Linked DNA regions of Drosophila melanogaster. The protein of the gene in region 3 interacts with the protein of the main gene of each other region in a pairwise test. Each region holds a gene or a part of one and is shown on either strand. Other genes may lie near its edges.

Region 1 (3,567 bases), on a different chromosome or scaffold from region 3:
ATATAACATGTGTTTAATGAATTTGTATGCAGTATTTAACTTATATTTTAATAATATAAGTTTGTAACTTAAAATAGAACAGACTGAGATATTTTTTCTTTAAATGAATACAAGGAATCCCATATTATTTCCTCCGTGTAATCACTCAATGAGATTTTTCGGATTCTTTGCGGCGCCAAGGATTCCTTTCTCCCGCTCAGCTGTTGTTCATTACTAATTCCTGGCATTTTGAGATATGTGTGTCGCATATATTACTTGCTAATAAATTAATAAGAGCATAAACAAATGGTCAATATGTCAGAGTGACGTCAACTTTTTGGCGGCTGCTTTGGCTGGCGCTGTCATAATTGGAAAGCAAGATTTGGCTTCCTCGATTTTCCCAATATTCCATAGCCACATAAACAAATACGTTGGCTGGTTTCGAAAATGTGTGCCACACAAACTGCTATTTTATTAAAATTTATAAATCAATTTGCATATCATGGCTGGCATTAAACAAAACGAATAATTAATATTATGGCTGATTTAAATGTGAATATATATGCGCGCGTATGGGAATAGGAAGCTGAATCGCAAAAGACAATATTCGAATCGTTTATAAAAATGTATTAACACATTGCTCGTTTGATATTTCCATGTGCGAGTTGTCGGTGTCTGTGTGTGGAATGATTCCATCCTCTTAATTAATGTCGATTTTTTAATTGCTCGTTAATTTGGCTGAGTTATAAAATGATTTTATGGGCACGTCGTGATTGATTCATAAAGCGTGTCAGCTGGAAAATGTGATCAGATTTGATCTAATTATGAGGGAATATCTGATACTTATTTAAATGAGCACCAATTAAGCGTACACTGGGCGAAATTCAACTGCTGAACTGATACTATAACATCTTTGTCTGGAATTTTGCTGACTCATTTCGTATGGTAATTTGTTAATAAAAGCGAAACCGAAATTCAAAAGCCGTAGAACAGGGTAGGTTTTTAAGTTTCAGCCTGAGTTTGTAGTTATTTAAGTGGCTAAAATCAAAGACCAGTATTACGTCCCAAAAGTATAAAAAGAGATGTTTATTTAAATAAGGTTATTTAAGACTATTTTTTATCGTCATTAAGCGTGTTTAATTTTAACAGATGTTGATAGCGCATTTGGAACTGGTTTATCAACAGCATGATTTACAATAATTCCAGCTGCCATCGAATCTGATAATGATTTTCCCGCAGTGTCGGCTAAAAATAGTCATTGTTAAGCTTAGCAAACCACTACAAAATCGTATTGTAGTGGGTGGATGTGGTTCGGATCGTCTGCTCTTGGTGGTGATGGTGGTGGTGGCATTGGTGGTGCTGCTGCTTTCTGGTGGCCAGGCGCAGTAAATTCGGCAATGCTCAATGGTTTTACAGTGCTTTTCGTATTTTCCTTTTTTTCACTCCACGAAAATTAGAAACACATTTTAAGATTTCCACAGGTTCGTGTGCGCGTTCACTTCTTTTGTTTATTTCGCTTGGTTTTATTTTCGAAATGCTGCTGAAAACCATAAATTAGCTTGTTACTTTTGGAATGCCTGGCGTTGTGTGTGGGTGTTTCTGGGGTTTCTGGGGATCTCAAGAGCTCAATGAAGAAGTGGGGAACTGATTCAGTCGTTAGCGGTGATCGATCTGGTGAACAACTAGCACAGGATTTAAAATGGATAACATTGTGAGTGCCACTGGATTATAGAAACCCCTAGGGGTAACACCTTGCACTTGAAAGCAGTGTTAAGGAATAGAGAAATGTCGTTTCTCATCAATTTAAAGATTTTTACCGAATTACAAACGAAGTAATGTATGGAAATTCATGGAACTTTCTTCTCAGGACGAAGACCTGACCCCCGAGCAGATTGCCGTTCTGCAGAAGGCATTCAACAGCTTCGACCACCAGAAGACCGGCAGTATCCCCACCGAAATGGTGGCCGATATCCTCCGTCTTATGGGTCAGCCCTTCGACAGGCAGATCCTTGACGAGCTGATCGACGAGGTCGATGAGGACAGTAAGTGTTCGCAGCCTATATTGCCGGGTGCCCAAACTAATCCTCGATTCTTCTGCAGAATCCGGTCGCCTGGAGTTCGAGGAGTTCGTCCAGCTGGCTGCCAAGTTCATCGTAGAGGAGGATGATGAGGCCATGCAGAAGGAGCTGCGCGAGGCTTTCCGTCTGTACGACAAGCAGGGCAATGGCTACATTCCCACCTCCTGCCTGAAGGAGATCCTCAAGGAACTGGACGACCAGCTGACCGAACAGGAGCTCGACATCATGATTGAGGAAATCGATTCCGACGGCTCTGGCACCGTTGATTTTGATGGTAAGTGCGCGGACCAATTAGCCGCCGTCAGTCGGGCTATAAAGATCTTGGATTCCTTGGCGCGCTGCCATGGTATTTTCCACACAAATTATATCAATTTGTTGCGGTGGAGAACCCCTACCCCTCCCCACTAACACCACCATCCCACCAACGAGGGGAGACGCCCTTGTGGTGCTTTATTTATAGTTCTTTAGATCTTTACACAGAAACAAGCAGATCACTTTGCCCCAGATTCTAAGGGGCATTTCACTATTCCTAAAACAAAATCCGTCCATATTTTCCGCCTTTTATAATTGTTCCGATTGGTGTACCAGTTTAAAAAGAAACAAATTTGTATTATGAGGTTTTGGTCCAATTTCCACTTGTATTAGTACACAAACCATATTTTAGTTATCAACAATAATAATAATTAATATTATTTTGTATTTAATTTCCAGAATTCATGGAGATGATGACTGGCGAGTAAGCATTGTGGACCCAACGTATCTCATAATTGTCTACCCCCCAACACCCGAGGCTTGAATAAACGTTTTGTATTTTATTTCTACGATTGAGTAATCATAATTACGCTATAAATAATCCGCTCGTTCAGGAACCGATTGAGTAGAAAAACCCAAAGCGCGGCAAACATTCTATGGCTGCAGTGCATCTGCATCCGAGTTGAGTCATCTTAATTGCCAATTGCCACCCTCTGGCGTGCGGATTATTATTAAATTTCAATGTTTGTGCAATGGGCTGGGAGTGGGCGTGGCCGCTCTGCTCATTTGTGTGTTAATTTGGCAAGGCCATTCGGCGTATGAGTGATGCATGTTGCGCATACGCAACGTGGCCAGATGCATGCGGAGTTCTTTGTTTCAATCTTTCCGCTATTACTTGCGGCAGTGCGTGCACATTCCGTTTGCCACTTGACTGGCGTTCTGGTCCGCACAGCTGTGACCATCCCAAGCAGAATAAGGCCCACTGACAACCTGCTAGATTTTTGCCTTTCCAAACAGCCAATGTAGTATATCATAGCTATGCATGCAGGCTGGCAAATGTCAATGAGCATTCTCCTTGTTGCCAAAAGATGTCAAGCATTTACGCTAAACTTGGCCGCCGCGACATGCAGTGAGTTTGTTTTCCCAAATTCAGCGAAAAGAAGCAACTGCCCTTTCTGAAAAGTTAGCGAAAAAAAAGGAGAAGGGGCTTGGGGCAGATCGATGTGGATGGGTTGGGGTTTGGATGTTGCCACCAAGT
Region 2 (5,033 bases), on a different chromosome or scaffold from region 3:
TCTTGTAGCTAGATGTTAGCTTAGTTGTTTCTTCAAGTGGTACACATTCCTCGGGTCGATCGTTTCCTGGTTGCCATAGTTTCGTGCCGTGTTCTGCCACAGTTATCAATAATAATAGTTTTAGTTAATAGTTCATAGAATTAAGTAGCTGCTCGTGCCAGTGACGGTGCCAGAAAATCCCAGAGAATCGCACTTTACTTGCGACCCAGGGTATCGCGCCATTCGTTATACTTGTCCATCTCCTCGTGCAGCTGAAGAGCCTCTATGCAGGCGTTGAAGAAGGGCGATCCGAAGCATTCTTGCCTGTGTTCAAAAACAAAAGGAGGAGGAGGAATTAGGAAACCTGATTTTTTTTAATTTGGTGTATAGCTTGCTCAGAAGAAAAAAGAGCCAAAGTTCAAAAGCCATATTCAGGTATGGTTGAATATATCACAAAAATTATTGTTCTCAAAATCTTGTTCTGTTTGTTTGCTCAAAAAATACGAGCTCAACAGTTCGAGGATTATTGAGGAATTTAACAAAAAGTAAAGCATAGTTGGTCAAATTTTTAGCTTGAGTGCTAGTTAAAAGCCAAGAATGCACAAGGTCAAAAATCAAATAATTAATTAAAAACAAAAGAAAATTATAACGTACCAAAACAAAAACGGTAAGCAGGCGTTTTTAGTCGCGCCAGAAACGCGCGCAAATCGCCAGCTGCAGTCTGTCTGTCTCTGTCGCCTTCTGTATGGCGGTCTCTTTCTCTGGCGGTGTCCTGCGTCGCGCATTCGCATTCTAATTCTCATTTATCACAATTTTGATGCTCTCAAATAGCCAGCGAATGATTGATTATCCTTTATTAATTTACAGGGTTTTATTAATTATGTATTATTTATTGCCACATTTGTAATGCAGTCGTTCCGTTCTTCGCGTGTTTTTACCAGGTTTTTGTTTGTGTCTTGCACAAATTGCGATCTTGCGTTTCTCTCTAATATTTAGCATGTGTGTAGGGTACTCGTATTCGGATATATGTAAGGCTTTAGCTTTAGATAGGTATGCATATACTATATACTATATAGGTAAATACATATCTCCGTTTTGCGCCAACAGATTTACACTAATTCAGGGTTTCATCTTTACAAAATAGCACAAAATTGTAAGTGTAATACATTTGCAAAATACTTTCGGTCTCGATTGCGGTGTATATATGTGTGTGTGTGAGTGTGTGTGTATGTGTGTATGTGTGTATGTGTGTGTTCGTATGGGTTTATCTTTATCATTGTAGTTTTGCCCTTGCGGAAAATCGTGTAAAATGTAAACTCTAAATGCTGATTTTACAGTAGAATACAGATACAAAAATAAAAGTTATCATTTTACATTACATAGATTAAAAACAATGGATTTCGTTTTGTTTATTTTATATACAAACCGCATAACGCAATAATAATAAAACAAGCTAAGAATACTTAAAAATAAATACTTCGGCTTCTATGTATATGTGGGGAGTGCGAGATCTGCGATCCTCCTCCTGCACATCATCATCATCATCATCTGATCATCATCATCGCCCATCTCCCACTCCCCAATTATGTTACTTACAACAAACGCATAACGTTCTCAATAAATTAATAAAAATAATTCGTTTTTAAAAAAACACATATAGTAAAAACTGTAAGGCATACAGTAATAAATAAGTACGAATTAAATTTGGGCGTTTTAATATTTTAGATTTCTGTGTTCTGGCTCTGCATGTGTGGTCGTAGTGGGACTGTTTCTCGATCTGGATCTGGATCTATATCTGGATGCGGATGCTCGTTCCAACCCACGATATTCGCACCGATTCTCAGCTGTGTGTGGTGTGTGTTGTTTGTTGTGTGCTGTATGGTGTATGGTGTGTTGGGGCTGTGGGTGTGTGGGGCGGGGACTTAGAGTTATGTTTGCGGCCCCATGTTGAAGGATATGGGCGAGCCGTTCACTACTCTCAGAAAGTGCTGTAGGTTGGATATTTCCTCTTCGGGTATTAACAGCACTTTCAGGCATTCGCCAAACCATTTTGAATCAAAGCAGTCTTTCCTAAAATTGAAAACGAAAATCAAAATGAAACACAACGGTAAAGGTAACTGAAGGCAGTAAGAAATCAGGAAAATGAAGTCGTTGCGGAAACGAAAGCGGAAACGGAAGTGGAAACGAAAGTGGTCGAAGTTAGGAGTCTAGTGGTAGATGGGCTTGTGAAACGGATAGGGTGATCCGTTGATCACTTTCAGATAGTGCTGCAGCTGCGATATCTCTTCATCGTCGATCAGCAGCACCTTTAGGCAATCCCCGAAGGTCTCGTGGACGAAACAATTGGCCCTGCATCGAATAGACAAGAAACACAGATGTAGGACTCGCACAGAGGGAAGTCAAACGAAAAGGTGATAAACTTATTACTACAATATTTAAGTGACTATAGGGTGAAACAAAAAGAGAGAGAGAGAGATATAGACCAAATGGAAGAAACCAAATAGGCAGCGGTCTCTGTGCGAGAAAGTCGAGGAGAAAGTAGCGGGGAAAGCGGGCCCATAAAGTTCAGAAACAACCGAAGGTCCCGCGATCATTTTCCGATACCCCGACAATTGTATTTGTGTCAGGGTCTGCCAGCACTTAAGATCATAATTAGTGTTTCTTGGACGGCCTTGCCTTGAACGCTGTAAGGAACACTGATGCTGCTTTGTGGTTTTGTTAGATATTTGTATGTATGTATGTGTACGTATGGCTGGGGCTGTGGGACCCTAGGGAAACTTACTTGCATAATCGGTGTATACTCGTCTCGCGGAACAACTGGTAGCAGTCCTCGCAGATGCGGTCCAGTCGGAAGAACATGGTCTTGTTGAAGATGCCCTTGCACTCCAGGTCGAAGAAGTTGCTGCGCTTCGACAGATTGTGGTTGTGTGGCAAGGCGGCGAAGATTGGTATCAGGACAAGAAACAGCACCACCGAGATCTTTATGTTGCGGGAACACATCTGCAAAAGTGTGGGAAACCGGAAACACGGTTAAGAATAGATGCCTATTTATAGGTGCGATCAGATTAATTAACTGCCCGGACCACCTCTCTGGCCAAGCAGATGTGGGCCAACCCAGCACGATGTCGGCCCAGCTCCACGCCGCCGCCAAAGGACAGGGGCAAGGGCAGCTCTCGCCCAGGTGGCATCGATCTGCTGCTCGATCCGCATCGCGGATGGGCAGGAGGACGGCGGAGACCCTATAAATAGACCTCGTCCGACAGCCGTCTACCGACTGGCTAAAAATAGGGCCCCCATCCCCATCCCCATGTCCATGCCCATGCCATTCTCCACCCAAAGGTGCAATTGCAATAGTGGCAACAGTTGCAGTCGGTGCCGCAGACGATCTTATCGCAGGAGCGCTCTATAAATAGCACCGGCGATTTCAATGTTTATTGCATTATTTGCCATCTGTCGGCGGGCTTAATTTATGATGTAAGTCCGCCCCGCCCCGCCCTCGTCTTTGGCGGCTCAAAGGAGAGCCAATTTGCGAACGGACGCAGACGCGGACGGGCCCCCAAAACATGGGCATTTGTTTACTTTGCATATTTTATCAATTTGCGCGCCCGCCGGGAATTACAGCGATGACAGCGATATATATATGAATATATATATATATATATCTATGCACTCGCATTTGTGGCATTCCGAACTATTGAATAATTTGATTAACAGCGCGCTTTTCGCAAATTTTTCCACTGCGCGCTGTGCCAATTGGCCGTTTGTGTGAACATGTGTGAAATTCCTTCGACCCCGGGTGAAAAATTGAAATGCTGAATGAAAACCAGGCAGACACGACGACGTCGGCTATTTCGAGAGCAATTTCGAGAGTATCAGCAACATGAAAGCGAATTTGTGCCGATAATGATTTAAACACATATAATCGCTAACGAATATACTCGTATTGTTTTAGCGAACGACTCTGAGGATCTGCGCAAATTGATTTTTTATTGCCGTGCTGATGTCTTCAATTAAGTTGAGCACATTTTTTCGCAGATTTATGGCCGCGAGATGGGAAAACACCGAAATGGAAATGGGTATGGGAAGGGGAATGGGGCATTTGGGGGGACTGCCAATTGGAATCGGAATTCTGAGAAAGTTCATCAGTCGGTCGCCGAAATATTCATATATTTATATGAATACTATGAATACTATTCGCGATAAGTGAGGCTTCTCGCTTAAAAGTATGCTCCACCAAGGGGTCTTTATTTGATATATTTTTGGTTGATGATATCAAGGGCTCGCTCATGTGTCGTCATACTTAATTACTGCGGTCTCGTGTGACAAAACAAATGTTTTTAAGCAATCACATATTTTTGTAGTGAATATAAATAACTCATCCCAGGCCATCGGTCGTCATTGTTTAGTACTTAGTGTCGAAAGTATATATAAATCAAGAGTAATACATCCATCTGTCGTCATAGTCAATTGCTCGCTGTACTATCGCCAACTATTGTAACATTATGACTTCAACTTGCTGGAAGGTAGAATAAGCTCCAGACAAATGAACCCTACTATCCCTACCTGCGAGTGGTGGGCACAAAGAGTGCAAGTTGTGGTCGGGTGGGGAACCCTTTGCACTCAATGCACATGTAGCACTCGTTTAGTCAGAGATCCCGACGACGTTTCAGTGCAAAGTGCAACAGCTTGCGTACGGCGACTCAGCTCGGCTCGATTTCCCCGATGGATTCGGATTCGGATTCGGATTTGGATTTGGCTGCTGGCTGTGGGCTGAGCATCTGGTGATAATTGGCTTCGAGTTGCACGATTTATGGCATCATCGTCGCTGCAGGCGGCTATTTTTAACGCTCTTTGCCGGCGTGAGTGCCATAATTGATATGCGAACCGCGTTGAAGATAATGTAACATGGACCGCGAAAAGGGGCTTCAGTATCGCAGAAGAAGGCGAGGGAAAGTTGGAGGAGCGGTTGAATGGATGATCCGGGGCGACTGGGCCGATCGATCGAATGGCGTCATCGTCGCAGGAAGGAGCCAATGAACGGCGTCATATTTGAT
Region 3 (4,982 bases):
GGGCCGAACTGGAGCTGAAGGAACTTGAGGCGGCCTACTGCCGCGAGCTGGAAAAACTGAAGGTTCTCAGGTGCAAGGCACAGCACTACCAGCAGAAGCACGCAGCCCAGCGAGCTGAGGAGGAAGACCTGATTTCCAAAATAGAGAAGGCGAAGGCTAGTCGGGCGGAGCACTCTGCAGTTCTGGAGAAGATCGAGCGCGAACTAGATGACCAGCGAATGAAGCTGGACAGGGCCAATCGAGAGATCCGGACACAGTTGCGGGAGATCAAGGCGCGGCCCTTTAGCGAGGAGTACCTGGCGCAGTTCGAGCGGGATCTGTCTCTACAGGAGCTGGAGGCGCGTAACACCAAGGCGCTGAACATGATCACCGATCTGGCGAACAGCGACGAGAGCGGCACGGATATAATTGGAATCCTCTTGCGAAAAGGAATCAAGTTGCCGATGCACCTGAAGCGCACGTGCAGCCGCGTGTCCTGGAACAGCAGCTCCTCGGGCAAGTCCTCGCAGGGTCAGGACACCGCCTCCTACCTCAATGTTAAGGGCAAGAAGTTCTCCTGCGACGGGGCTAGTGCCCGGTCCTCCGTCTCCGACATGAGCTCCCTTAAGGATGACACATCCTCCACAACCTCCCACTCCGGACTGAGCATCATATCGCTTGAGTTGCCCTTGCCGAAGAAAAAATAATAGTCTAAAATATATTTATTTATTATTCCGTTCGATATCCGATGATCTCAACCCGTATGCTCGTATCTTCACGTGTTGGCATCGCAGTGTTTACAAATTGACCATCTAAACGAAACAGCGAATAAAATGCGTTGCCCAAGCGGGTCAAAACAAGAGAGCATCGCGGCCATAAAAATAGCACACAGCGATTCAGTGGGGGTATAGCTCGGTGCACATACACATAGGCGGACAAATGTGTGTGTCTAGGCGATTGCTTGTTTAAATCGCTGAATAGTAAATACTCTACAAAAGTATTACACAAAATATGTATATTAGCTACCACCTTTGGTGTGGGTTTTGTATTGGTTTTGATCAGATCTCAAGTAAGCTCATTACAGCATTAAGATTTAGACGGATATGCTAATTCAATCTGAAATACTCAATCTTCGTATTTTCCTAATAAAGAAATATATATAATAATAATATTTTCTCAGTTCTTATTTACGAAAATGAAACGAATGATTTTCACTGGTCCGAAACTAAAATCGAAAGAAGAAATCTCCAATAAGAGTACATATTAATGTGTTTACTTTTTATGGAGTGCTTAAAAAATGGAGCGACAATTGCAGTAACCAACCATATTCCAATTGGATATTGGCGGAAAAGCCAATTATTAAACCAATCTGGCGATAATGATAGATCTCTAGATAAGTCCCGCAAATCGCATGTGGTCATCTCAGCGAATTGCTCCTGCGCATCGTGCGTTACAAAGACTAGAACGAAGGCTATATGGCCGCCAGTGCAACATATATCGGCCAGAAATAATTCTACATACATATAGTATATAGCCGTGCTCAGAGCTATATTTCGAAATGAGCTACCCAGAGACACGGAGAAAAGAGACTGCCTTGTTCGAGAGATGGGATTTCGGTGCTGCGAGTGTTTCCGAAAGTCTTCTTGACGATTCGACGATCCGCGCCGGGCATTTCATTATTTTTCATTATTTCGTTAGCTGGCATCGGTGCCGAGAAGTCAGATTGCTGGGCCCAAAGTTTTCAAAAATCTTCACTTGCTGATATTTTTAGAAAATTTTGAAAGCAGAAAGACTAGGCAGTCTGGGAATGGACTCCTGAATAGATGATCACAGACCGAACAGGAGGATAATCCCAATAGGAGGTGAAGCATTTGCATAAGATTCGATTGAGTGCACTGGCGAAATGTGTTCCACCTCGGTGCTGTGTCCGCTCTGCGCGGTGCCCAGTTTCGGCAGTATTGACGCACTGCAGCAGAGGCTGATCAAGGCGGCCAACGGCCCACTGGCCTGTCCCTTTGCCAACTGCAAGGAGCTCTTCCTGGGGCTGGACAAGCTCACCATCCACCTGTTCTCGCACACAAGTCTGATGGCTCAGGAGGGAAACGAGAGTCCAGCGAATGGCCAACCCGCCTCGTCCCGGGGCTTCCTTGCCGCAGCTCCTCCCAAACGGAGGGCCAAGCGAACCAGGTCCAAGCCCGTCGTCCCAACCCCACCGCCTGTGCGGACCACCCCGCCCGCCCACTGCGACATTTGCGAGTTCAGTTTCCGGAATACCGAGCTGAGGGACATGCACGTCCGCTTAGTCCACGAAAATGCGGAGGGAGAACCCAAGCAAAAGGAACCCCAACAGAAGGAACCGGTAACTATTGGCTATGTACATATATTAAGTGCTATTATCTAAAGAGTTTCGTAATGCACTTTCGCATATTCTTATATCGATTTTGATTTTTTTTTTCTATGCTCACTGGCAGCAAAAAAAAATCATACTTAAAAAGCTAGACCATTTACATTGAATCTGAAACAAAAGTTTGACGTAATTAAAATCAACAACAACAAGAAAGAAATCTATATACCCTTATATTTTAAAAACAACTGATGTATGTACGTATATCGTTCCCATTATTTTCAATTAATTTTTCAACTGTTCATATGACTATGTATATATATGATAGATATTAATTTGTTTTTGATCAATTTAAAACCATGGCAACTTTGTGATATAGTGAATGAAAGTGAATGATTTTTGTGCATAAATTTGAAACTGAGAGACAGACGGTAATGTAATGGAATATTTGGCCATGAGGGCATATTGATGAATTGATAAATATAAGTGAAATTCCGATTATTGCTTTATACAGGACCAGGAGCCCTACAAGTGCCATCTCTGCTCCAAGACGTTCCGAATGAAGGGCTCCCTTCGAATCCACCTGAAAGTAGTGCACATGATGGGCGTGCCCTGCTCCAATCCCAATCCAAATCCTAATCCCAGTCCTACACCCGCTTCTACCACCAGTGCAGTTACTGCCACGCCCAAGCTGAGCATTTGCGATCGCATTCGACACACAGAGCCTGGAGCCCTTGGCAACGGAAATAACTCCACGTGCACCGCATCCCAGCCATACGCGCTGAGTGGGGCGCTGAGCATGCTCCAGCAGTCCCCCAGTTCGCCGGAGTCGGGCACGGCCACCCCGAAGCTGTGGGAGTGCGATGTGTGCAGCAAGTCCTTCACCACCAAGTACTTTCTGAAGAAGCACAAGCGGCTCCACACCGGCGAGATGCCGTACACATGCGAGATCTGCGCCAGGACCTTCACCTTCCAGCAGTCGTACCACAAGCATTTGCTCTACCACAGCGAGGTAAAGCCCCATGTCTGCGGGGTTTGTGGACGCGCCTTCAAGGAACTGTCTACGCTGCATAACCACCAGAGGATTCACAGCGGCGAAAAGCCCTTCAAGTGCGAAGTCTGCGGTGAGTATCGATCAAACCCCTTAATTAGCCGCCCCTTATTTTGTTAGCCAGCTTATAAATGAGCATACTCCATTGCGATTTGCCCTATTTACTTTAAATGAAGGAGAGGTATACCTTCTTTTCCGGGTCACTCCATGTCTAACCTTTTCGTATTTCGGACTCGTCCACAGGCAAGTGTTTCCGGCAGCGAGTCTCTTTCCTTGTCCACACGCGCATCCACACGGGAGTGATGCCCTACAAGTGCGAGCTCTGCCAAAAGACGTTCAGGTACAAGGTCAGTCAAAGGACCCATCGATGTCCCACCGAGGAGGCCCAGACACCGGAGCAGCTGATAAAGGCGTTCCTGGAGGGCAACGACTCGCATACTCAGCCTTCACCAGCGAGCGCCGAAATAGCTGCCATCAACAGCAGCTCCATTGTGGATCCTGAGCAGGAGGCACTGCTTTCGCAGTCAATCGACGACATTGTCGTTGAGCAGTGCCAAAAGCTGGGCATCTGTGGTGTGGAGCCGCGGGAGGAGGGACAGCTCATATCCCTACAGCCGGTTGCGGTGGTACACTTCAGCGGGAATGGCTCTCCGCTGCAGCAACTCCAGAACTTGAGAATCTACTCACCGCAACAAACAGAGCTACCTAGTTCCGATGGCGAAGTCTTCCAGCGCTTTTTGATGGACGCCACGTAGTTGGAACGAAGATGCATATATCCACTTAATTTATACCCTTTTATATCATTTTACATTGTTTGCACTTCCCCAAAGGCGATCTAATCAATTCCTAAGCACCCCCTAAGAAAAACGTCTTAATTACATCTTCTTATGAGGATATTATTTGAATCTTAGTTGTTTTATCTCAGCCAAGTGTAAATCGACTAGGACCCGACTTGTTTGCAATACAACAACAACATCTAATATAAATTATGTTAAACTGCCGATTTTATTTAAAACTATTCTGGGCAACGAACCCGAGCGCTGAGTTGAGGCGAAAATGATATTAAATCGAGTTAGTTCAGTTTTCAAATGTACTTGGTTGATTATAAACTTATTTATTATGAACGCCGTTTTTTGTAATTAATCATTCATCTGAGGCGCTTCCAGAGCTGGATCCTGAACCAGAAGGCGAGCCACTGCGAGACCGGCTGGGCGATCGCGACCCAGAGCCAGATCTGGAGCCCGAACGTGATCGGGAACCGGACTTGGATCTCGACCTAGAACGCGACCGAGAGCCGGACTTGGAACGGGATCGGGAACGTGATACCGATCTCGATCTGGATCCGGATTTCTGGGATCCTGCCGGCGAATTTGTGCGTGATCTGGAGCCGCTACCAGACCGAGAACCAGACTTTGAGCGGCTGCTGGCCCGAGAGCCGGAGCCAGATCCAGATCCTGAACTGGACCCGCTGCGAGTTCGACTCCGAGAACGAGACTGTCGATCGCGGGCTACCTGGGCGGGTGAGTCCGCTCCAGATGCTGCCTGTGCGCCAACAGCTGCGTCCTCGCTCGTCTTCTCCGTCTCGCCAATGATTTGCATTTGCTCCTC

What was found. The genes of interacting proteins can lie anywhere in the genome.
Region 1: the proteins of CG14655 (region 3) and TpnC47D interact in a two-hybrid assay, tested with the Drosophila melanogaster proteins (one large-scale study listed by BioGRID).
Region 2: the proteins of CG14655 (region 3) and CG4622 interact in a two-hybrid assay, tested with the Drosophila melanogaster proteins (one large-scale study listed by BioGRID).

Annotation. Positions count from the first base shown.
Region 1 is NT_033778.4:11,273,344-11,276,910, reverse strand, and holds TpnC47D (troponin C at 47D), read left to right. Parts: upstream 1-1,624; 5' UTR 1,625-1,678; coding exon 1,679-1,690; intron 1,691-1,846; coding exon 1,847-2,021; intron 2,022-2,079; coding exon 2,080-2,331; intron 2,332-2,768; coding exon 2,769-2,797; 3' UTR 2,798-3,066; downstream 3,067-3,567.
Region 2 is NT_033778.4:24,553,300-24,558,332, reverse strand, and holds the start of CG4622 (uncharacterized protein), read left to right. Parts: upstream 1-2,049; 5' UTR 2,050-2,186; coding exon of another isoform or gene 2,187-2,328; 5' UTR 2,329-2,390; intron 2,391-2,761; coding exon of another isoform or gene 2,762-2,979; intron 2,980-5,033. Other genes in the region: ITP (Ion transport peptide), read right to left, coding at 2,187-2,328, 2,762-2,979. UniProt on the Drosophila melanogaster protein: Scaffolding subunit of the trimeric nuclear exosome targeting (NEXT) complex, a complex that directs a subset of non-coding short-lived RNAs for exosomal degradation. The RNA exosome is fundamental for the degradation of RNA in eukaryotic nuclei.
Region 3 is NT_033777.3:4,776,975-4,781,956, reverse strand, and holds CG14655 (uncharacterized protein), read left to right. Parts: upstream 1-1,654; 5' UTR 1,655-1,882; coding exon 1,883-2,338; intron 2,339-2,837; coding exon 2,838-3,447; intron 3,448-3,617; coding exon 3,618-4,129; 3' UTR 4,130-4,460; downstream 4,461-4,982. Other genes in the region: Ccdc39 (Coiled-coil domain containing protein 39), read left to right, coding at 1-686; atms (antimeros), read right to left, coding at 4,518-4,982.